Notamacropus eugenii: one gene and its partner. The protein of the gene in region 2 interacts with the protein of the main gene of each other region in a pairwise test. Links are inferred from orthologs where the notes say so. Each region holds a gene or a part of one and is shown on either strand. Other genes may lie near its edges.

The links. The genes of interacting proteins can lie anywhere in the genome.
Region 1: the proteins of ZNF277 (region 2) and GNGT1 interact in a two-hybrid assay, tested with the Homo sapiens proteins (3 studies listed by BioGRID and IntAct). The two-hybrid records come from large-scale screens. The link is inferred for Notamacropus eugenii from reciprocal best matches to the Homo sapiens genes ZNF277 and GNGT1.

The regions. Positions count from the first base shown.
Region 1 is NC_092874.1:489,373,393-489,383,961, reverse strand, and holds GNGT1 (guanine nucleotide-binding protein G(T) subunit gamma-T1), read right to left. Parts: upstream 4,788-10,569; 5' UTR 4,695-4,787; coding exon 4,599-4,694; intron 224-4,598; coding exon 95-223; 3' UTR 9-94; downstream 1-8. UniProt on the Homo sapiens protein: Guanine nucleotide-binding proteins (G proteins) are involved as a modulator or transducer in various transmembrane signaling systems.
Region 2 is NC_092874.1:141,835,543-141,846,183, forward strand, and holds the start of ZNF277 (zinc finger protein 277), read right to left. Parts: upstream 4,685-10,641; 5' UTR 4,493-4,684; coding exon 4,414-4,492; intron 1-4,413. Other genes in the region: DOCK4 (dedicator of cytokinesis protein 4), read left to right, coding at 5,159-5,195. UniProt on the Homo sapiens protein: Probable transcription factor. Involved in modulation of cellular senescence; represses transcription of the tumor suppressor gene INK4A/ARF, perhaps acting via the Polycomb group (PcG) complex PRC1.

The DNA of each region.
Region 1 (10,569 bases), about 350 Mb from region 2:
TGGATCCTTTCATTCTGGTCCATTAGAACAAAGGGATTTAAAACTAATTTTAAAGCATCTTGGTCGTTCCACAGTCCTTGATGCACCAGGACTTTCAGGAAATGATGCAGCCTCCCTTGAGTTCCTTGAAGGGGTTTTTGTCCTCGGGGATTCCCTTCACAAGGGGGTCCTCTCCAGACCTCTCCTCGATGTAGTCTCTCACCTCTTCACAACATTTTGAAACCTTTGAAAAAAGAAAGAGTGGGAGAAGAGCTGCTGACAGATGGATGCCATTAGTCTAAGGTGCAGAACATCCCCAAAGGCAGACCACACTGGAAGTATGGCTGGCTCCTAAATCTTCCCTTCCTTCCCCCAGCTTTCTTAGAGTCTTGGACCCTCTGTGAGGCTTCAGCCTGGATGCTCTCCCTAATGTTAAGTGATGAGGGCCCTGCTGGGACCAAGTCCAGTCCTCGCCCTTCCAGGGTATCTATTAATTTGGTGCCTTGCTAGGCACTGGGTTGGCAGACAGAGATAAAACCAACCCTTAACTTCTAGGGACTGACATTGGGCTTGGGGGCAAAAAAACCATGAGATAAGCTGAGAAAAGGGATGCAGTCATGACTGGGTGGTTAGGAAAAGCATCCTTTGGAGGCAGCCCCTGAGTCTTGAGAGATTATAAGGGGTGGGGGATGAGGAGGGAGAGCTGAGCTCAGGGAGCAGCCAAGGTAGCAGGAAAGTACCTGCCTCACAGAGGGGCTGTTGTGATTTCTGTGTGTGCAGAGCAGTCTGTGTCCATTGCTGTGAGTAGCAGTCTTGAGAATAATGTGGAAGATATGAATGAAGTGCTGTGAAGCATTCAGAAGGGAGGTGGTCTTAAATGCCCACAGAACCCAAGTGCCTATGACGTGCCAGATGCCATGGGGACAAAGACAAAAATGGAGGAGCCCTTCCTTGGGGAGTTGCATGGGCCCCAATGAAGACTCTCTATCTTGGGCCATGAGCAATGGTCGAATGAGGGATGTGGTAGCTGTGAGAAGGGGCCTGGGGGTGGCAGCTCTGCCCAGCCCTGAGGGGCCAGGCCTCAGACTTCCCAGGGTATGTGAAGACACTACTGCTTTTCCCTCTCCTTCTGCACCAGGGGCTTTGAGAGCAGTGGGGACAAGGAGCTTGCTTCACAACCAGGTCCATCCCCCAAACCAGGAGTCCTGTGTTCCCCTTAACAAAGCAGAGTATCCTTTCTGCTTGATGATCAATCCCTAGAATACAAGGGAGAGAAGGGAAGGATGACTGCTTTGTCCAAGCTGGCTCTGAAAGTGGTATGGGCTATGAACAGGGAATCCACATGACTGATCCAAAGGACCTGCATTCCACTCCTAATCCCACTCAGTTTATTGCAGCTATCTTCCCTGAGTGGTTCACCCTCTGCCTCTGGGAGGGAGAGGGGAAGGAAAGGCCAGAGAAGTATTTGTTCCATAAGCTCAGGGACCTCCAGATGTGGGGCTAGAAGGTACAGAACAAGAGACAAGATGGCATTGGGTCCTCACCCACCCAGAGGCTTCAGAACAGGATAAAGTACAAGGTACAGTGGTAACCCTAACACCCCAGGGACCCATGGGCATCGAGTCGCCGACCCCAGCCTCACTCCAGGGCAGTCTTTCCAGATGACCTGGCAGCATCAGTGTTAGAAGTCACAGAGCATAAACCTGGGCAATCCCCTGCCACTAGGACTCACCCCTCCTCCCCCACCCCCACTCCCAGTCCCTCCTCCCCCCCACCCCTCCAGTGGCTTGTGGCCAGCAAGGTCTTCAACATTAGGCTATTTCTTAACCTTGAGACTTGTCTATGAACTGCTTGTATCTGGAGATCACTGAATTCCAGCTCTCTCCTCACATCTCTTACAGTGCCTCATCATGGGAAGGTGGTGAGCTGGGGTGAACTCAGTCTATGCCCATAGAGGGACTGGGAAAGGAGGGGGGACTGACCTTCTCTAAGGGGCTGAAAAAAGTCTTTGGCCCTATTCTACTGGGCTCCGCTGCTTTTGTGAGTCTTTGTAATGGGGGTGGGGCTTCAACCAGAGGCAGGACACAGCCAGGAGACCAGGGCCACTGGAGCACAGAGTACTTGGAGGGGAGTGAGGTGTCAGACTGCAAAGGGAGGAAGTGGCTGGTTAAGAAGGGCTTTGGACACCAAGTGGAGTATTTTGTATTTCCTCCTGGAGGGCTAGAGAGCCCCTGGAGTTTGTGGGGTAAGGGTGACATGGGCAGACCTATCCTTTAGGAGGATCCATTGGACAGCAGGTGGAGAGTGGACCAGAGCAGGGAGAGGTGTGAGCAGGCTGAAGGCCAGCAGTGACTGCCACAGTCCAGGCATGCAGTGCTGAGGGGCTCCAGTGTGTGGATGCCCTTGAAGCTTTGTCTCATTGTCTCTAGATGGCACAGCCTTTTATCTCTCTCCTGCTACAGAAAAATCCCTATCTGCCCTCAACCCTGGACCACGACTCGCAGAGAGGATGGAGGGCACATCGCTGCTTCTGGTCCTAGGGAGAGCTGGCCTAAACTGCCAAAGAAGCATTCCGTCCCTTCTCACTATGACAGTGGGCATACGTAAGGTGACAAAGAGGGGATGGGCAGACAGGTAGAGGGAGCAAGGCCCAGCTTTGGGTCACTGAGGAAGCCTCTCATGTGGGAGACACTAGAGAACAAGCATGACCAGAAGGGGGGGTCACCCAGGGACTGTCACAGTGGGTGAGAGAGAGAACACACTATGCCAGATACTGGCACCCCCAGAGAAGGCCAGAACTTAGTGCTTAGTATACTGCCTGGTGCAGAGGAGGCACTTACAAAATGTTTAACTCACAGAGACTGGAAAGAGGCCCCAGTGGAGGATTTACAGGAGATCTGGGATGAGAACAGGCAGTGAAAGGGTATGAAGTGGGCCTAGGTGGACCCCACCCCACCCTGGAGGAGGTCCTGGTCTGTCAAGTGTTTGTGGAGTTGAATTGAACAGAAATGAACCCAAAGAGAGTCTACTTTTCCTCTCCAATGACCTAGAAGATGGGAAATGGCCTACTTCCCTACGGGGCCAGAGGTCGAAGGCAGGCTAACAAACCCAAGCCACCTGACTTTTGGGCCGGGTTCTTGACCTGCTCTTAGTCCAGGTTTGGTGAAGCACGTCTGTTCCTTGAGTCACTGGAGACAGAGACACCAAACCATAAGAACTATAGGCAACGAGAGAGACTCTACAAGCATATGATGTACGGACCAGATGTCTGGCCCAGGGTTCTAGCAACACTCAAAAGATGGAGGACAGAAGCCTCTGTGTTCTCCCATGCATCTTCCACAACTGACAAAGTCTGACCACACCAGTCCCAGCTCAGTCGCCTCCCATGACTCCCTACTACCCCTGGGAGCAAAAAAAAGCCTCTTCCGTTGGGCTTGTTAAGCCCTTCATCACCTTGCATTGGACACTCCTTACCTCTCCCCCTGACCAGGGAACCAGTTTCTGGCTTCCTTCCAGACATCCCCAGTGCTCCCAACCCTAGGGCACTTCTTGGGGGCTAACAGCTTCCCCCATGGATAGTTTGTACCAACACCTGGATCCCTCTGTGTGTGTCTTCCCTGTAGGGTGTAAATGCTTGAGACCAGGAACTATTTCTCCTTTGTCTTTGCACCCCCAGCACCAGTTGGACACTCATCAATGGTTATTGATTGGTGCTGCAGTTCAGGCCTGGAAGCCTGGTGGCAGACACTTTGTGCATCCCTAGCTCAAAGGACAGCAAGACGGACCCCCCCCAAACAGAATGGGACCAAAGGTTCCTTCCTTCCCATCCCTCCTCTTCCCTCACCTTCCCATCCTCCACTTGGGCAGGGAACCTTCAGGAAGACAGATGAGTGTCTGGCAATGAAGATGCCCCTCAGCATGCAGTATAGCCATGCTATCCCTGTGATGTGGAGGGTTTGGGGAGAAATGCTCCAACTGCAGTGTTTTCAGAGGCCATATGAGGTCCAAAGGTCAAGGTAAAGCATCGTGGGTAGAGAGTCAGGCTCTGAGTAAGGAAGACCTCCATTGGGCGCTAAGGGCAGCTATCCAAGACCCCTCACTACAGTCAGTGGCTGGGATGAGCCCATTTTGCAGGTTAGGACAAAAAGATTGAGGTGGGGAGAGGAGGAGAGTGGCAGTAGACCTCAACTTCCCCCCGTCCAACTGTGAGCATTTCAGAACATTTATCTGTTCTTTTGTGGGGATTGTTGGGCCCAGCAGCCTGGCAGACAGATAAAGAATTTGGGGACAACCTCATTGTTTGGGTGATAAAGGTAAGGCTTCAGACCCAGCCTCCACTCTGGGGCCCTAGTGCATTCCTCTGTTCTGACTCTGACATCTCTGACCAAGCAGCTCCCTGTAGAGGAGAGCAGCTTTACAGCCTCCTGGGACTGGGCCTGGTCAGGGTCAGGCACCCATGTGGGCAAAGGGCACTGCTGGCCTGGCCTGGGAGTCTCCTCCCTGTTCCCACCAATGGTCTCCCCCAATGTCATATCTTTTCAAGTCTGAATTGGCCAGGCTCTACCTCCCCAGGAACCTCCCCTGTCCTGGCCCCAGGCCTTCCCAAAGTGGCCACTTACCACCATCCTTTCTAGCGTCACCTCTTTCTTCAGCTGGTCCACTTCCATCTTCAGCTTGTCCTTCTCTGTCAGGTCTTCGATATTGATCACTGGCATCTTGTCCCTGGGCTGACCCTCCCACCAGAGCCGGACTTCTACACTTCTGCCAAGGGCTTGGTCTGCTTCAGAGTCTGCCCTTCCCTGACCAACTTGTCAGGCCTGGCTCCTGCCCCTCTCCTGCTTGACTGCCCAGTCCCAGGGTTTTAAAGGACCTTGACATAAGCTCTGCTAATGTGATTAAGCTCAGGGTTTAGCCCTCGGGGAGGCTGGGGTCACTGAGTCTACAATGTGGACTGAAGATAGAGGGGGTCTCTCCACAGTCCACTGTGGTTTTCCTTCTAAGCGAAATTGTATTTTCTTTAAGTATTTGTAGGATGCTTCACATGCTTTCTCCTCCTTTTTGAGGTCATTGGGGAAACTGAGCACTAATCCATTAAAGTGCTGATGTGATTAATCCAGTATTACAGGGGCCCCAAGAAGAGGTGAGAGTCATTCTGAAGTCTGGACTAGAGCCAAGAGCCCTGGAATAAAAACACAGCCAAGGAGGAGCATATATTGCCCAGCAGGGACCAAGCCACATCCTGAGAGGAAGTAGCTCCAGGAAATGATCTGCCAAAAAATGATCAGAGCCTGGGAGAGAAAGAGGAGAGATGTGCCAACAAGTTCTGCCATGTTGATTTATCCAGGCCTGATTCCTGTAGGCTCTCCTCCAACCAGGGGGTCAAACCACAGAGCAAGGGACTCAGAGTCCTGCCCTACTAGGGTTAAATGGTAGGTGGCTTTTACCAGGCATACTTTAAACCCCCCAGAGCCTGCCCCTGACCTTGCACTGGTGGACTGAAGATGGAAGAGGTCACTGTGAACTGTAAGAGGAAGGAGGATGCCTGTCATCAAATCCTGGAGAGAGGGCAAAGGGCCCTCCAGACCGTTAGCTGAGAATTGAGCCCCAGGCATCACTGAGCCAGAGAGGACTGGAGGAGGCCAGTGACACCCCCTCCCTCCTTCCACCTAGCTCTGCTCCACCTGGAGTCCACCTGGGTGCAAAAGGGGTAGAGAGTTTCCCTGGCAATCCTTCCTCGAGTTGCTTCCTGTTTCAAATTGACCTATTTCAGTTTCTTGGCAAGGAGAACAAAACAAGGGGATCTCCTCCCTAAATATTCCTAAGTTTCTAACCAAGGATAAAAAAATTGATGGGTGCCCCCACCCCACCCCATGCTGCATCTTCCTACGTTGCCTTTTCTTAATCTTTACCTGACCATCTGACCTCAGCAGCCTGTGACCCCGCCAATAATCCCTCTCTCCTCCTTGAAACTCTTTTCTCTAGGTTTTTGAGACAGGGCTGTCCTGGTTCTCCTCCTTCCTGTGCAATAGTTCCTCAGTTCCCTTTGCTGGCTCTTCCCCCCAGTTCTTACCCAATAGCAGTGTGGGTCCCTAAAGGCTCTACCCTAGCCCCTCTTCTTTTCTCCCTCCATACTTCTCTCAAGGATCTCATCAGCTCCCAAGGATTTAATTATCTCTGTACTGATTCACAGGTCTTCTTATTCAGCTCTAACCTCTCTGCTGACCACCAGTCTCAAATCTCCAACTGCCTTCCAGACATCTTGAACTGGATGTCTTGTAGACATCTTAAACTCAACAGGTCCAAAAGTGAATGATTTCCACCTCCCCCCAAACCCTAGTCTCTTCCTAATTTCCCTGTTTCTATCAAGAATACCACCTTCTTCCCAGTCACCCAAGTTTGCAACCAAAGTGCCATCTTTGATTTCTCATTCTCACCTCCCATATACAATTTATTGCCAAGACCTGTTGATTTCACCTCTGCAGCATCTCTTGCTGATTTCACCTCCACAACATTTCTGGTTTATTTCACCTCTGCAACTTCTCACCTTTGAAGCATTTCTCCTATATGCCTCCTTCTCTCCTCTGACCCTGCCCCTGCTCTGATCCAGGCCATCATCCCCTCCCATCTAGAATATTGCAATAGCTACTGATGGGTCTCCCTGTCCCAAGTCTCTCCCCACTCTACTCCATCCTCCATTCACCAGACCTGGGATCAGGAGGACCTGAGTTTAAATTCAACTTCAGACACTTACTAGTTGTGTAACCCTGTTTGCCTCAGTTTCCTCATTTGTACAATGAGCTAGAGAAGGAAATGGCAAACTATTCCAGTATCTTCCAAGAAAACCCCAACGAAGTCACAAAGAGTTGGGCACAACTGAAGTGACTGAACAACAACAACTAGGCCTTCCAGGTCTCACTCTCCTCCAGACTTCACTCTACTTTCTGTACCATGGCCTTCTTGTCAGCACTCAATAACAGGATGTAAATGTTGCCTCCTTCAGGCTTTGTTTTCCCTTCACAAGTCCCGGAGACCTCAGGTTCAAATATTCCATGGGACAACCTACACAATGCCCCAGCCTTCCCCACCAAGCAGTTTAGAAATTCCTCAGTGGAAAAAAAAATTCAACAAAGGAAAAAGAGCCTAGGACAATCCTCACTAGAACTTCGAGTCAATTGGCTCACCCCAGCATCTCCTGCACCCACTTCCTGTTCTCTGATCACATGATGCAGGATGTCACTGCAAGCACCACTTGCAGCCCTTTGTAACAACTTTAGCTGTTAATGCCAAATAATCCTGAAAGGATTTTATATGTAATGTGAATATATTCTGCATAGTATAATAAGCACATATGTTGTCTCTCCCCTGAGACTGCACACTCCTTGTGGACAAAGACCGACTTTTTCCTCATGGACCCAGTACCAAGAAAAGTTCCTGGAACACAGTAGGTGCTTCTTAGTCTTGCTCATTGGTGCTGTGGGAGAGATAGCATGAAGATGGAGAAGTCAAGCTAACCAACATTCACTAAGTGCTTATTAGGTGACAAATGCTGCTAAGAGACAGTTGAGGGATCAGCGACTAGAGCTGGCTCTGGAGTCAGGAGGACCTAAGTTCAAATCTAGCCTCAGACATTTATCAACTGTGTAAGCCTGGGCAAGCCACTTCACCTCTGTCTGTATCAGTTTCCTCAACTTAAATTGGAATAATAACAGCTTCCCAGGGTTGTCGTGAGGATTAAATGAGATAGTATTTTAAAGTAACTAGCATAGCATAGGTGTTTGATAAATGCTTGTTCCTAAGTCCTGGGAATACAAAGAGGCAAAAAACATTCCCTGCTTCTTTTCTCTTTATAGTCTGATATTTAATATTAAGGTCCCATATCCACCTAGAATGAATTGTGGAGTGAGATAGAAAGTGTTAGTCTGAGCTTAATTTCTATCAGAATATTTTCCAGTTTTCCTAGTCAAATAGGGTCTTCTTGCCTAGGTAAATTTCTGTATGTATGTATATTACATATATATAATATACATATGTTTATACATGTATATGTGTATATGTGTATACATATGCATACACATATATGCATATATAATATGCTACATTTTATGTGTATGTATGTTAGTTGTTATACATATGCATGTGAAACCAAAAGTCATCCTCTAATTCATAAGTGTTCAAAGGACATAAACAAATCATTTTCAAAAGAATTAGAAAGTACTAATAACCAGAGGAAATAGTGTTCCAAATCCCTAATAATAGAGAAATGCAAATGAAAACAAGTCTGAAGTTTCACCTTATACCCTACAAATTGGTAAAGATGACAAAAGATAGGAATAATCAAGGTTAGAGAGGTTGTGGCAAGATAAGCACACTAGTACATTGTTAGTGGAGCTGAGAATCAGTACAACCACTTTGTAAAGTAATTTTTAAATATGGAAATATAGCAGTTAAAATGTTTGTACCCTTTGATTCAAATATTCCACTATTAGGGTTAAGTCCCCAAGGAAGTCATCAATAAAAAGAAAGCCCCCATTTATGCCAAAATTTTTATAGCAGAACTCTTTTGTGGTTGTAAAGAATCAGAAGCAAAATAGATGCCCATCGTTTAGGGAATGGCTAAATAAACTGTGGTGTATGAGTGTAATGGAATATATGTTATACGAAGTAACGTGTGATGAATATAGAGAAGGCTGGAAAGTTCTGCATAAGCTAATGCAGAGGGAAGGGAGCAGAGCCAAGAGGACAGTCTACACAGTGACAACAACACTGGAAGTGGAAAGATAAAACAACCAAGAGCAAATTTGCAAAATGAGGAAGAATGAGCCTGATCTGAAAGAAGAGTCATGAGAAGACATTGTTCACCCTGTGCTGGTGGCAGGTCCAACTCAGAAGTGCACTGAATATGCTACGCTTTAACCTCAAACCACTTTGGCTTTCATTGAATGGCTGACAGTCGCCCCTAGCTCAAGCCTCTCTTGCACGTTGTTTGGGTTTCAATGACCCAGCATGAGTGGAAATAGCAATTGATTTTTGTTCTGGCCAAAAACTATGAGGGGCGTCCACTCCCAGAATGATATTTTGTGATGGCAAATTTCACCATCTTCTGTCGCAATTCTTACCTAACCCTTAGTCATTGAATGGATGTTGCCTCAGACAAACTCAGGACTGGGAAATGACCTTAATTTAGAAAGGCAAAGGTCACCCATGACATCCTGGGCCATGTCCAGTCCTGACTTTTTTCTTGCCACTGGACTTTGATGACTCTGGAGGAGAGAGTGAAACAGACAATTTTGCAGATCTTCTTCCCATCTTAAATCCAATTCACTCTCAAGTCGATACATCACCCCTCAAAATCATTGGTCCTCTTGGAGAATGAAGAACAGCTCACATAGCATGTGTTTTTAATGTATTGATTGGTTGTACTGATTTGGGGGGGGGTCTCTTCTTCCTCTTTTTTGTTTTTTTTCTTTAAAAAATTGTTATAGAGGATGACTTGAGAGGGAATGAAGACGGTATACTGAGATAAATCTTTGTGATGTAAAAAATCAAATAATATCAACAAAACTTTATTTTAATAATAAACAAATTAATAAAATGAGCCTTCATAAAAGGAAACTGTTGGTCATCTTAGAAAGCACTATTTCAGTCAGTAGTTGGGTTAGGACACATATTGCAAAGGCTTGAGAAGTGAATGAAAGACCAAGAAGAGACAGAGAAAGTAGAGAGCTTTTTGCGTAGGGATTGGGATGTGAAAGGGAGGCTACGTGACATGCTGCGGGGGTGGCAAGTCCAAGGGATGTTTCTTAAGGACGAGGAGACCTGGGCATGTTTGAAGGTATCAGGAAAGGAATAGTATAAAAAGAATTTGAAGATGAGAGAGACAGGATGATTAAAGAGCAACACTGCCAGCAGAGGCAGCAGCAGGCAGGGTCAAGGGTACGAGGAGAGGAATGGCTCTGACCAAGAAAGACGTCAACTCTTCCTCTGGGATTCTGAAATCAAAGTGGGGGAAACTGGGGAGGGCTGATACTGAGGAATTTGAGGGGGAAATAGGTGAAAAGAGGATGATGGACAGCCTCCTTTTTCTTGACAAAGTTTGAGGTGAACTCTCTTTTGAGAGCTGAGGGTTAGAGTGAAGTAACTATAATAGTAACAATAGCTGAAATTTATAAAGAGCTCCTTCTTCGATCCTCAGGGCAGCTCTGGGAAGTGATCATACCTATTTTACAGTTCAGAAAACTAAGGCAGACAGAGGCTGACTGTGAATTGCCCTGGGTCACACAGCTAGTGTCTTGAGGCTGGATTTGAACTCAGGTCTTCCTGACTCCAAGTCTAGTTTGGAACAGATGGGGTAGACATTCAATCAGGGAAGAAGGAGAGGACTTTTCTGCAGCAATGAGGCCTAGTTGAGGTTCAGTAATGTAAATGTGCATTTGTAATAGGTCCAGGGGGCAAGGCTGTTCTTTCTTCACTAATGAAGAAGCAGAAGAGAAGTGGGGGGGGGGGGACCCAGGGGCCTCCCCCAGGGTTGAGTCTTGGCCAGGAATTAGAGGTGAAAAGATTGGGGGAGGTCAGAACTTGGCTGAACAGTCA
Region 2 (10,641 bases):
AAAGGAGAAATTGAGGCAACAATGAAGACTAAGTCACAGACCTGTCTGGTAGTAAAGTTGGTACTGGAGACTATGCCTCCTCTCTTAAAATCCAGTGCTCCAGACTAGATTTCAAAGGGCATGGAGACTTCCTGGTTGTTGTCCATATGCACAGGAGGGGATGATGATGATGATTTGGTATGACCTCACCCAGTAATCAACCACAAAATGTTAAATTAGCAGAGATATCAGAAATCATTCCTCTAACCCCCTCATTTCATAGATGAAGAAATCCGGGCAATGAGAAAGAAATGGACTTGCCAGGACCACATAGCTAGCATGTAAGCGAGAAAAGCTGGATGGAAGGTGAGTCTTCTGACTTCAATAAATCACCATGCAGTTATTAATAGCTTACTATGTGTCAGGCACTGGCCTAGGAGCTGAGGAAGCAAATTCAAAACTGACAGAGCCTCTGCCCTTTTCAAGTACCATCAGTACTATGTTCACTACCCAAAGAATACTAAACTGGAGGTCAAAAGATACCAATGCCTGAGTCACTAACTGTGTGACCTTGGGTAAGTCACTTACCCTTGCTAAACTTTTTTCCTCATCTCTAAAGTAGGGATCAGAGCAACACCTACCTAACAAAGTTGTTGCAAGATTGGATGAGAAGGAACATAAATCCCTCTTTAAAACTCAATGCTATATAACTATCTGCTAGCATCATCATTATTACCTGTGGGATCTTCTCTGACCTCCCCGTCACAAGAATGATCACCCTGTCCTTGCAGCATCTTGCCAAAACCTTACTCACAATTTCTCTTGCTTGTATCATAATTGTTTGTGTACATGTGTCCTCATCTAGTCCTTAGTCCCTAACCTCCTTAAGAGCAAGGCAAGACCTGTGTGGTTTCTATGGAGTTTAGATCTCTGAGGTCTAATCTGGTCCTAGCCACCTAACATAGTGTCTCACACATGATAGGCACGTAGAAAATAGAACTGCACTCATAAATTCTCGCTGAAGTAGTAGATGGTGATATGAGAAATTTCTGGGATCCTTGTAGTCCTAGAGTTTCTCAGAAAGCAAGAGTTTTCATCAGACTTCTCATTAGGACTGGCGATACTGCTGAGAGAGTCCCTCCCCTACCACCTGCACCTATACCAGGCGCTAGGAACAAATGCCTGAGCAAGCTAGGGCCCTCTCCTGCAAAGGAGTCTGGGAGAAGCACCTGGTATAGAAGGCTAATTTCAAGTGCTTTTCGTGGGAGTGAGTGAATGCTCAGGTGTGGCTAGGGGGAAGCTTGCAAGAACACCTCTGGTATTTCTGCCAGCTTTCCTCAAGTTCCATTCTGTATGACTGGCTGCTGAACCTCTGGTAGAGGCATCCTGGGGCAGATGTGACATCTCCATGTTTCCCCAAGATGTCTCTGGTAGGTGAATCTCCAGTGTTGTGCTGTACTGTTCCAAAATCCGACACCAAATATATCAAAGAAGGAATCTGGGCAATAGTGACAGGTCCTCCATCCCTGAGCATAACTCCCCATTGCATAGGAATGGGTCTCATACTAAGATATTAGGCTAGGCCTAGAAAATCTTACAAGTACTAGCCTAGACTTTTATAGCACTTCATAGCTTTAAAACTGCTTTATGCACAGTAGGTAAGTGCAAATATTATCTTTTTTTTTACAGATAATTAAATGGAGTCTCAGAGCAGTTCCCCATAATTTACTTGCTTGTACATAGTTGCTCGCATAATGTTGTCCCTAATAGATTATGAGCTCCTAGAGGGCAAAGATTGTCTTTTGCTTTTCTTTGCGGCCCCAGGGTTTAATAGAACATCTGGCACTTAGTAGGTGCTTAATAAATGTTTATTGACTAAGTTACTCCAGGTCACGAAGTTAGTAAGAGGTGGAGCCAGAGCTCAAAGCAAGGCTTTCTGGTTCCCAGATTCAGTATTCTTTCCATTATTGCATGCTACTTTAGAATTAGAAGGCATATCTTGAAGGAGTTGTTTTAGATCAATTCAGTGGGAATACTACAATACACAACAGGCAAAAAACAAAAAATGCATGTTTTATTAGGCTGAGTTTTTACTGATGAAAAATAGAAATGTGTTTGATAACAATGCTCTTTTAAATTTTATAGTAATTTACAGTTTTGAAGTAGTCTGGAAAAATTTTATGTAATGTTATGAATGGGTTACTAAAGGGGAGTTTGGGGGTAGAATGCTAAATGTGTGCTGCGATGTTATGAAAGTCAACTAATATAAATGTGACATTTATGATGTAATAAGATTTGTGCCTTGTTTACACATATTATCTCATCTGACCCCACAACAGCCTTTAAGCTAGTAATTATTGTTCCTATTTCATAGATGAAGAAACTGTGGCTAAGAGGTTAAATGACTAGTTAGAGTCACAGAATAAATGCCTTTCAGGTTTTCCTGATTCTAAGTCCAGCATTCTATGCACTCCACGGTGGCTTCTCTTTATAACATCCCTTTGTCCATTCCAAGAGAGATAACGGCTGGTCTGAGCTAGGAAGCCATTTCCTGTAATTTTGTAAACTGTCTTCAGCGAATGGTTTCAAGTCCATCTTTTGGTAGTCCTTCATTAGATTACACTGTCCCCTCCTTTAATGCTGATTTCAGGAATTTCTAATGGCATTAAAACAAAAAACTGAGAGTCACTTTTCCATTCAGCTTTCTCATTTTGGTCCATTTCCATTTTAAGAACCTCTTGTAGAAACAAATGTGAAAGTTTAGGAATCATTTTCTCTTCAACAGTCAGCTTGTTGACAATTCTAAATGTGACATCTCTGGGTCTTAAATAACCTTCTTGAGATGCTAGCATCTAGAGAACTTTAATTATATGTTTCCCCCAAATGAGAGTTGGGTCAAGCACTTGGTCCACCAAAATGAATACCAAATAACTCAATAATTAACTGTCTAGGATGTGGAGGTGGATAAACATTTGACTCAGCAGCCAGTTTAAGATATATAGCACTGACAGAGGTACTTTTAAAAAATAATTTCAGGGTTAGGGAATTTTGATAATAGAAGTGGCTGGTAACAGCACTTTTAACTTTGTGGTGATGAGACTCAGTTTTTGACCACACAATTATTAACTGTAAAAGCAAAAAACAAAACAAAAAAGCCTTCAGCAAAGGTGTATCAAACCTTATCTAGGGCAAAAATAACTTTTTTCCCCTCCTGAAATGGCAACTTCCAAATCACTATTACAGCTCTCTGCATTCTTTGCCCGGAGGCCCTCTTTTCCTTCAGGGGAAAGGAGGAAGAATCCGGGAAGTAGGAAAGCAATCTGAGACGGGTGGGCAGAAGGCAGAACTGGAGCGGTCACTCACTACTTGTGCACCCCCGGGAAAGTAATTTAACTCTCTCCCCGCTCCTATTTTTGTGATTGTTGTTTCTCCATCAGTAAAACGAGGAGGCTGAGCTTCCTTATGATCCTGCACCTAAAATCCCAGAAAAGACACATCCTGGAGGCTCCTCCCCCAAAGTTGGTTGCTCACCAAAGAGGCTCCTCCCCCAAATTTAGTTTCTGACCCAGGGTGCTCCTCCCTCAAAGTTTAGTTTCTTATTTCTGACACCATACAAAAGTCCTCCAGAGAACCCAAACCCATAGACTGGTAAAAGTAACTGTGATGGCCAAAACGCAACCCAAAAGAGTGTTACTGAAAAGTCCAGAGACCTCTGAATCGTCTCTGAAGCTGAGTGCAAGCTCTCTCCTCCTCTTCCCTTCCTTCATGTCCTCGGTTCCCTGACAAGAGTTCCAGCAACAGTATTCTACCCTCAAGGAGACTTTGGCAGAGATCCCAGAGAGGTCAGCGGACACAGCCTTCCTCCAGTGCGGAAGAAAACTGTAAGATACCGCTACACAAATGTCCAGGAACGAACATTTCATACCTGGAAGACGCAAGACGCACATAAAACAAGTTTCTTGATGCCAAACAAAGCCCAAAAGAGTCTAAGCTGAGGAAATGGAGGTGGAAAGACTTGCTAATTTGCAATGCCATACATACACGCCCCCAAATCAATCCACCCAACCGAAACCGATTGAACGGGTAGGAGCTCAAGTGGGGAGCTACTTCAGAACCGGAAGGGAAGAACCAAGAGAGGGTTCCCTAACAGCTCGGGGAGGGGAGGTGGCATTTCCTCCTCCTTTCTCCACCCGCTCTAAGGCAAACAGCTGCCAAATATGCGCCTCCGCCTCCTGCCCTCCCCGGGTTCACAGCGCCATTCCCAGGGCACACGTGGCTGCAGAAAGCTCAGCCTTTAAGACTCTGGCTAGCTCCTACAAGTCAGTTTGACTTGAGGGTTTGTGTTGCAGCAGGGACGACTGGAATAGAAAGCAGGAAAGAAAACTAATGCCACTGGCACCAAGGGCCCTGCTTCAAGGGGGCCACCAAACTCACCTGCATCACTGAATTTGCTGCTGCTGCCGCCAGCACCATCTTCTCCAGCTGCAGCCCCCTCAATCCCAAGAGAAGCCATTCCGCTGGGAGAGTGGGGGAGAGAAATGAGGAGGTGGGGTCTAGTTCCAATGAGAACCTAGGACTCAGTTTACACCTCACCTCACCCCACCCCCAACTTCAGCCTTTCCTCCACTCCCCAACGTAGCCACCAACAGCTCTTATTCAGCAGAACCGAACAAGGGAGAATGGGAGGGACCTCCATAAGCCCCACCCCAATCGCTAGGGTGTCCTGTCCCTTCTCTGGAGTGAGGTGGAAAACTACACTTCCCACCATGCATCGGGGAGTGCAGAGGAGGGAGGAGGGAAGAGGGGGGGAGTGGAGTGGAGGAAAGCAGTGGGGGCGGTGCGCCCGAGAGTGCCCCGGCGTGTTCGCTTAGTTCAGTGAATCAGAACAATGCCTGCGCGTCTGAATCCCCGGGAGCGCGTCTGAGGAAGCTGCGGAGAGGTGCAGCAGCGGCCCCAGCTCCAGCAGCCCGAGCAGCCTTAGCATCAGTCGGAGCACAGCCCGCGCACTGTCAGCGCTTGGGCAGGCTCCAGTCCTGACCCTTCTCCCTCTTGCCCAAGGACTGAGAGCGCTGAGCTGCCTTTAGCCCTTTCGCTGCTGCTGCTACTCTGGCTTCTGGTTTATTGTTTTGAGCTCCTGAGAGGAGGTGTGAGAGAGGGACAACAGAATCTTCCTTCAGCCATGTGGATACCTACAGAGCACGAGAAATACGGCGTAGGTGAGTCTTTCTCCGGGCGAACTTTTATTCTCTCTCCTGGGCTTGCAATTTTCCTCTTTCTCTTCTTTTCTGCTCTTGTTATTTGCCCCCTATATTTAGGTGAGGCTGGAAATGGATAGTTGGGGCATAATATAGTCCCCCGTTTGTTTCCCTCTTTTGCCTTGATACGGTGCTGTGCTATGCAGATCATCTCAAAGCGGAGAGAGATACACACATCCTTGCCCCCCCCAACTCGCTGGATTGGGGGCTCGCGCCCGCCCCAACGAAACCCTACGCACCCACCCCCTTCTCTACCACCCTCCGCTTTCAGATCCGCTGGCTAGCGATCAGCCGCCGATGCAAAGGGAACGGATCCCTTAGTTCTGCGTTGCCGACTCTCATCTCCGTCTTTGGAGTTTGGAAGTGGAGATGGGTGCATGTGTGTGTCAAGTTGCAAGGGAAAGGGCGAGCCCCTTTCCTAGTCTTCCCCTTCGTCCCTTCCCCCCCAAACCCCGGGATTTGAAACGACAATCAGCTGCAGAGATTTCCCGGGAGGAGGGTTGGGGACAGAGAAGAGAGGAAGGGGAGGGGGAAAAAACCCGAAACCAACAAAACCAGAAAGGGAAGGCAAACCCTTCCTTCTGGCTCGCATGAACATCCCCAGAGTGCAAAATGTGCAATAATCTACAAAGGACAATTCTGACAGGAGACTGAGCCCGTTCTATTTCCTTCCCCAACGCCCTTCTCCTCTCCACCCCCCCCCCCCCGCACATTTTTGTTTGTATTTTGTATTAAGTGTTTTTGAGGGTTGGGGGAGTTTCTCTGTGAATTTCCGTTGAATTGCTCCCTTTCCTTGTCATTTGAAAAGGAACGAGGACTTGGTTATGTTTCCACTTCTGGCTACTGCGTCCGGTCCGATCCTGGGGTCACTGCGGGGAGCCGGGCGTGGGGTGGGGTTTTTTTGGTGGGGGGTCAGTTGGAAAGTGCATTTTCAGTTCTGGGGAGTGAGCTAGGGATAGCCGTGGGTCAGACGGAGGCAGGAGGGTACGTTTTAAGGAAAGACCTGTCTGACTTTGGCGTTTTGAGAAAAAGGAAAACAGTGTAACACTCGCTCCTCTGTGCAAAGGTGAACAACAAAGGACATTAATGTTGACTGATGAACGCTGGATTCTCCCTTCCTCTCCCTCCTCCCATTTAATACGGACTAGAGTTCCCGTTCTTGTTTGAATTAAACTGGGTTCTTCCCTTCTCCCCATCCCCCTCCCCTCTTTCTGGGTTTTCAGGATTTGCCTTAAAAAAAAGAAAAGAAAGAAATGGGGCTTTCAGTGAAGGTCCTGAAACACGAACGGGCTAACCACGGCCCTAAAGGTCTCTCTGAGATCAGAACATTTATAGAATTTATCTATTATCCCCTTATTTCTTATCTGCCATCTACTGCCGCTAGGCAGTGCTTTTGAAAAGGGCAAATCTCTGTAGATGTGGATACTGTGGAAAATCTGCTTTCTTCCCATCTCATTCGTTTCCTGCAATTAAAAAAGGAAGATCAAAGTGCTGTTTGTGGGAGTCATTTTCACAGGGGACCCTCTCTCCCCAATTTTGCCTGGAGGAGAGACCGTGGAGTCCTCTGAACTGACTTCGTGAAGTGATTAAACAAAGTCAGCTCATCTTTTGCTTGACCTACTAAAAGCCTTCGTTCTGTGTTGAGTGGTTAGCAAGACAATAGTTTCTTCTAGATGTGTTTGGAGTATGTTTGACAGCCATTCTTTCCAGCTTCCTTCTTTTCCTTGGTCGCTTTTATATTTTTTCCATATTTAGGTAGAAGCCTAAAGAGTTTGTCTTTGTTTCTGAGCTTGAGGAAGAGGGTATCATCTCAGTATCATCTCATTGCACCGGGTTTAACAATTAGTGCAAGAAGCCAAGACCCATTCAGGGCAACCCCGTCCCATTTGGAGTTGATCCCAGATGTTGCTTTCTTCCAAGTGTTAAATTATAGAGATTATCGATGGGATTCATTTTCTTTTATTTTTCTATGTGCCAGGTCACAGCTGGGTTGCTAGTATCGATTAGCTCCCCTAGTCTCTTTTCTTTACTGCTGTGGGCAGGGTCTGATAAACCACTCTAGGGTTTGCTGGAGTAGCAAACAGGATATTATCAGTGAAGTATTTCAAGCTGCAGCAAAATCACTCAGATTTGTGTGGTGGTAGTTGTGATTTGGAGGCCACTTATCTGAGTGGGAAAAGGTGGCAAAGGAAGGGGGAGAGTGGAAAGATGAGTATTTCTTGCCAGAATTATTGCTTCCCTTTGTCATTTATACTGCAAACCTTTGAGGGCTAATAATATTTTTTTTTATTATTTTTCAAGCATTTGGCTTGTGGTTGCTTAGTTGTTCACCATCCATCTGTTAGAATTTTTTGGAGTACTGAGAAAAATTTGCTAGGATACTCCTGCATGCGGAGCTTCTTTCTTCACCATGGAGAGAACTATTTGTGGCTGTTAGTGCTTCAAGGCTTCTTCTCCTCCTCCTCCCTTTTACCCTTGATATAAATGTGTGTGTTTTCTGTAGTTCTTATGAATACCAGGGAAGAGTATTTTGTGGTTATCAAAGATTTGCAATTCTTGGTTCAGTTCAGTTTCATCAGTAATTGAAATAAATTGATCCTTTCCAACCTGAAGTGTTCAGATACCTCTGAAAATCTACCACTTTTACTGTGGGACTTTTTAAAAAATCTGTAGTGATCCGTGTGTGTCCACAGAGAAAATATTTGTGTCTTTAATATATCTGTGTTAACATTTCACAAATATAATGCATATTCTTCATTTTCTTTTATAATAAATAGTATATGTATACATGTACATGTGTGTATATGTAGATGTACATATATGTATGTGTGTGTATATATATTACATATATATATTTCAAAGTGGTTTGAAAATGTAAATTCTCTCACCTGGGCAATAGAATAGCCTATAGTGTTTAAGTGATAACCCACCTTTATGTCAAAACCATCTATGTTTTGTCATGGGCCTGAATTGTCTAAAATTGGAAAATTATGAAAGATAAGAATCAAACTAAATTTCTGAGCATAATATAACTCTTTTCTTTTTAGTGTGATTAAAAAAAGTTGTTCATGATGAAATGAGGATTTTTTTTTTAAGTTGAACAATTCTGGTTATTGACTCCATCAATTAGCAGAGTAGAAAAGAGGCATTGGACTCAAATGCCAGAGACCAGGGTTCCAGTTCTGAATTTACCATTGACTTGCTTTGTGTCTTTAGGCACAAGTCAGTAACTTTGTTGGGCCTCAGTCTCTTTACCTGTAAAATGAAGGAGTCAGACTACGTGATGATTTACATTCCCATAAGCGGTAGCTTTACAGTTTTAAAGCTACTAATCACATGTACCCTTTAGAAAGAAGAGCAAAGCTTGCTGTGTGGTATATACTTTTTCCATGGCATGCCAAAAATGATTTTTAAACAAGATGAAGAGCTAAGCAAAAGCCACCCGGTTTCTTGGAGGGACTGCTAGGATCCAGGTGGCAGTTGCTCACTTTCACAGTCTGTCTGATCCTTTCAAGAGGAGTTCCTCTGATGGTGAGTAAAGCAGATTCCCCCCGCCCCCAAAATGTTTTCTGATTTCCTGCAGACTGAATAATTTTACAAAGATAAAGAGGTCACCTTCCTTCTCTGTGTAAGTGGGGATTGCCCACAGAAATAGTTCAGAGCATTGAAGGCGTAACTGCTCCAAGATTCCTTCAGCAGATAGTTGTGTGGTGCCTACAATGAAGAGACATTCTGGCATGCAGCATAGAAAAGAGGCCTGAACTACAAATGAAGGGACTTGTGCTTAAAGAAGGCTCTCCCATTAAACTAGCTCTGTGCTCTAGGGCAACTTATTTTTAATCTTTCTGAGCTGAAATTTCTTCACCTGTAAAATGTGAATAAAATTTGCCCAGTCTACCTCACAGTGCTTTTGTGAGGCTCAAGTGAGATAACAGATAAAAATACTTTATAATCCTAAAACACTATATACAGATGAGTTATTTTATTGTCTCTAATATCCCTATGTGGATTAGTTATTTTTTTATGTTCCATAACCATAGACAGCACTTCTAACTTTGTCAGCTATCTAGTTCATAAATGTACACCCTTGGCTGGGCAAAGGATTAGGGATGAATCAGTGCAAAGCCATTAACATAACAGGTAAAACAACTCTGAATGCATGTTATACATACTAACTCTAGTTAATAGTATAATCTTGTATGTGAAGGATCTACTTAGTATTACCTCTACTATTGTACTGTTGTCGAGATCAACATTAATATTATTACTAGTCATTCATTAATCTGACAAATATTTGTTAGGTCAGTCAGGGGATAGCTATAATACAAAAAAAAAGACAAAAGACCATTCTTGTCCTCAAGGAGCTCAGAATCTACTGAGGGAGATGACATACGAAGAACTATGTACAAACTATATACAGAAGAAATTGGAAGTAAGCAACATAGAGAATTCACTAAAATTATGGACTATATGTTCTGGGTATCGGAGGAGATAAAATTTTAATTAGATGGGGTATCTGCTCTTGAGGACTTCGTAAACTTACGCAGTCTTAAAAAAGTACCTGCCTATATTTTTCAGGAAGAGGAAAAGTATGGTATCATACAAAGAGCATAAGACTTAAAGTTAGAAGATCAGTTTTGAACAGCTGTGTGGAAAGTGTGTGACCTTGGACAAATCACTTATTCCCTAGGAAGCTCCATTTTCCCAACTGTAAAAAGAGGATGATGACTTCATAGGATTGTTGAAGTGAAAATACTGTATAAACTCTTAAACACTATATAAATATAAGTTATCATTTTCTAGAGATGTTTTGGCTTAATTTGATTTGTTTTTCTTTTTAAAGTCCTTCTATTGTAACAGAACTAATTCCTGCCTCTTTATAAAAGTTATTTTAGAGTGGTATTTCCTTCAAAAAGAAAATATAATTATACTCTTTATAATTAATTTGTTTTTAGTTTTCAACATTCACTTCCATAAGATTTTGAGTTTTAAATTTTCTCCCCCTCCCTGTTCTCCCATGTAATTGTACTCTTGTCTGGGAGAGAATAAGGAGAGTGTGATTTTTCTTTTAGTTTTTGTTCATTGCTATTGCAAACTCATTTTACAGAGTTTAAAAAGAATGTTTATTTCATGACTTTTTTTGTTTCCAAATACTGTGTGGTTGTAATGCTATGGAAGCAGCATTCAGAAGGAATCCAACTGTATACACTAACTGTATAATTTTGAACTTTTTCTTAAGTATTTGGGGTAAGAGTGATTTCTATCTCTTGGTAAAATCTCACCAATTGGTTTGAACACATTAGGAAGATGACAGATGCATGTGGTTTAGCATGTTGTCTGCTTTGGTATTATACTATCGATTTCCTTTTCTTACAACTCCTTCCCAAGTGACAATTCTTCCAGAAGG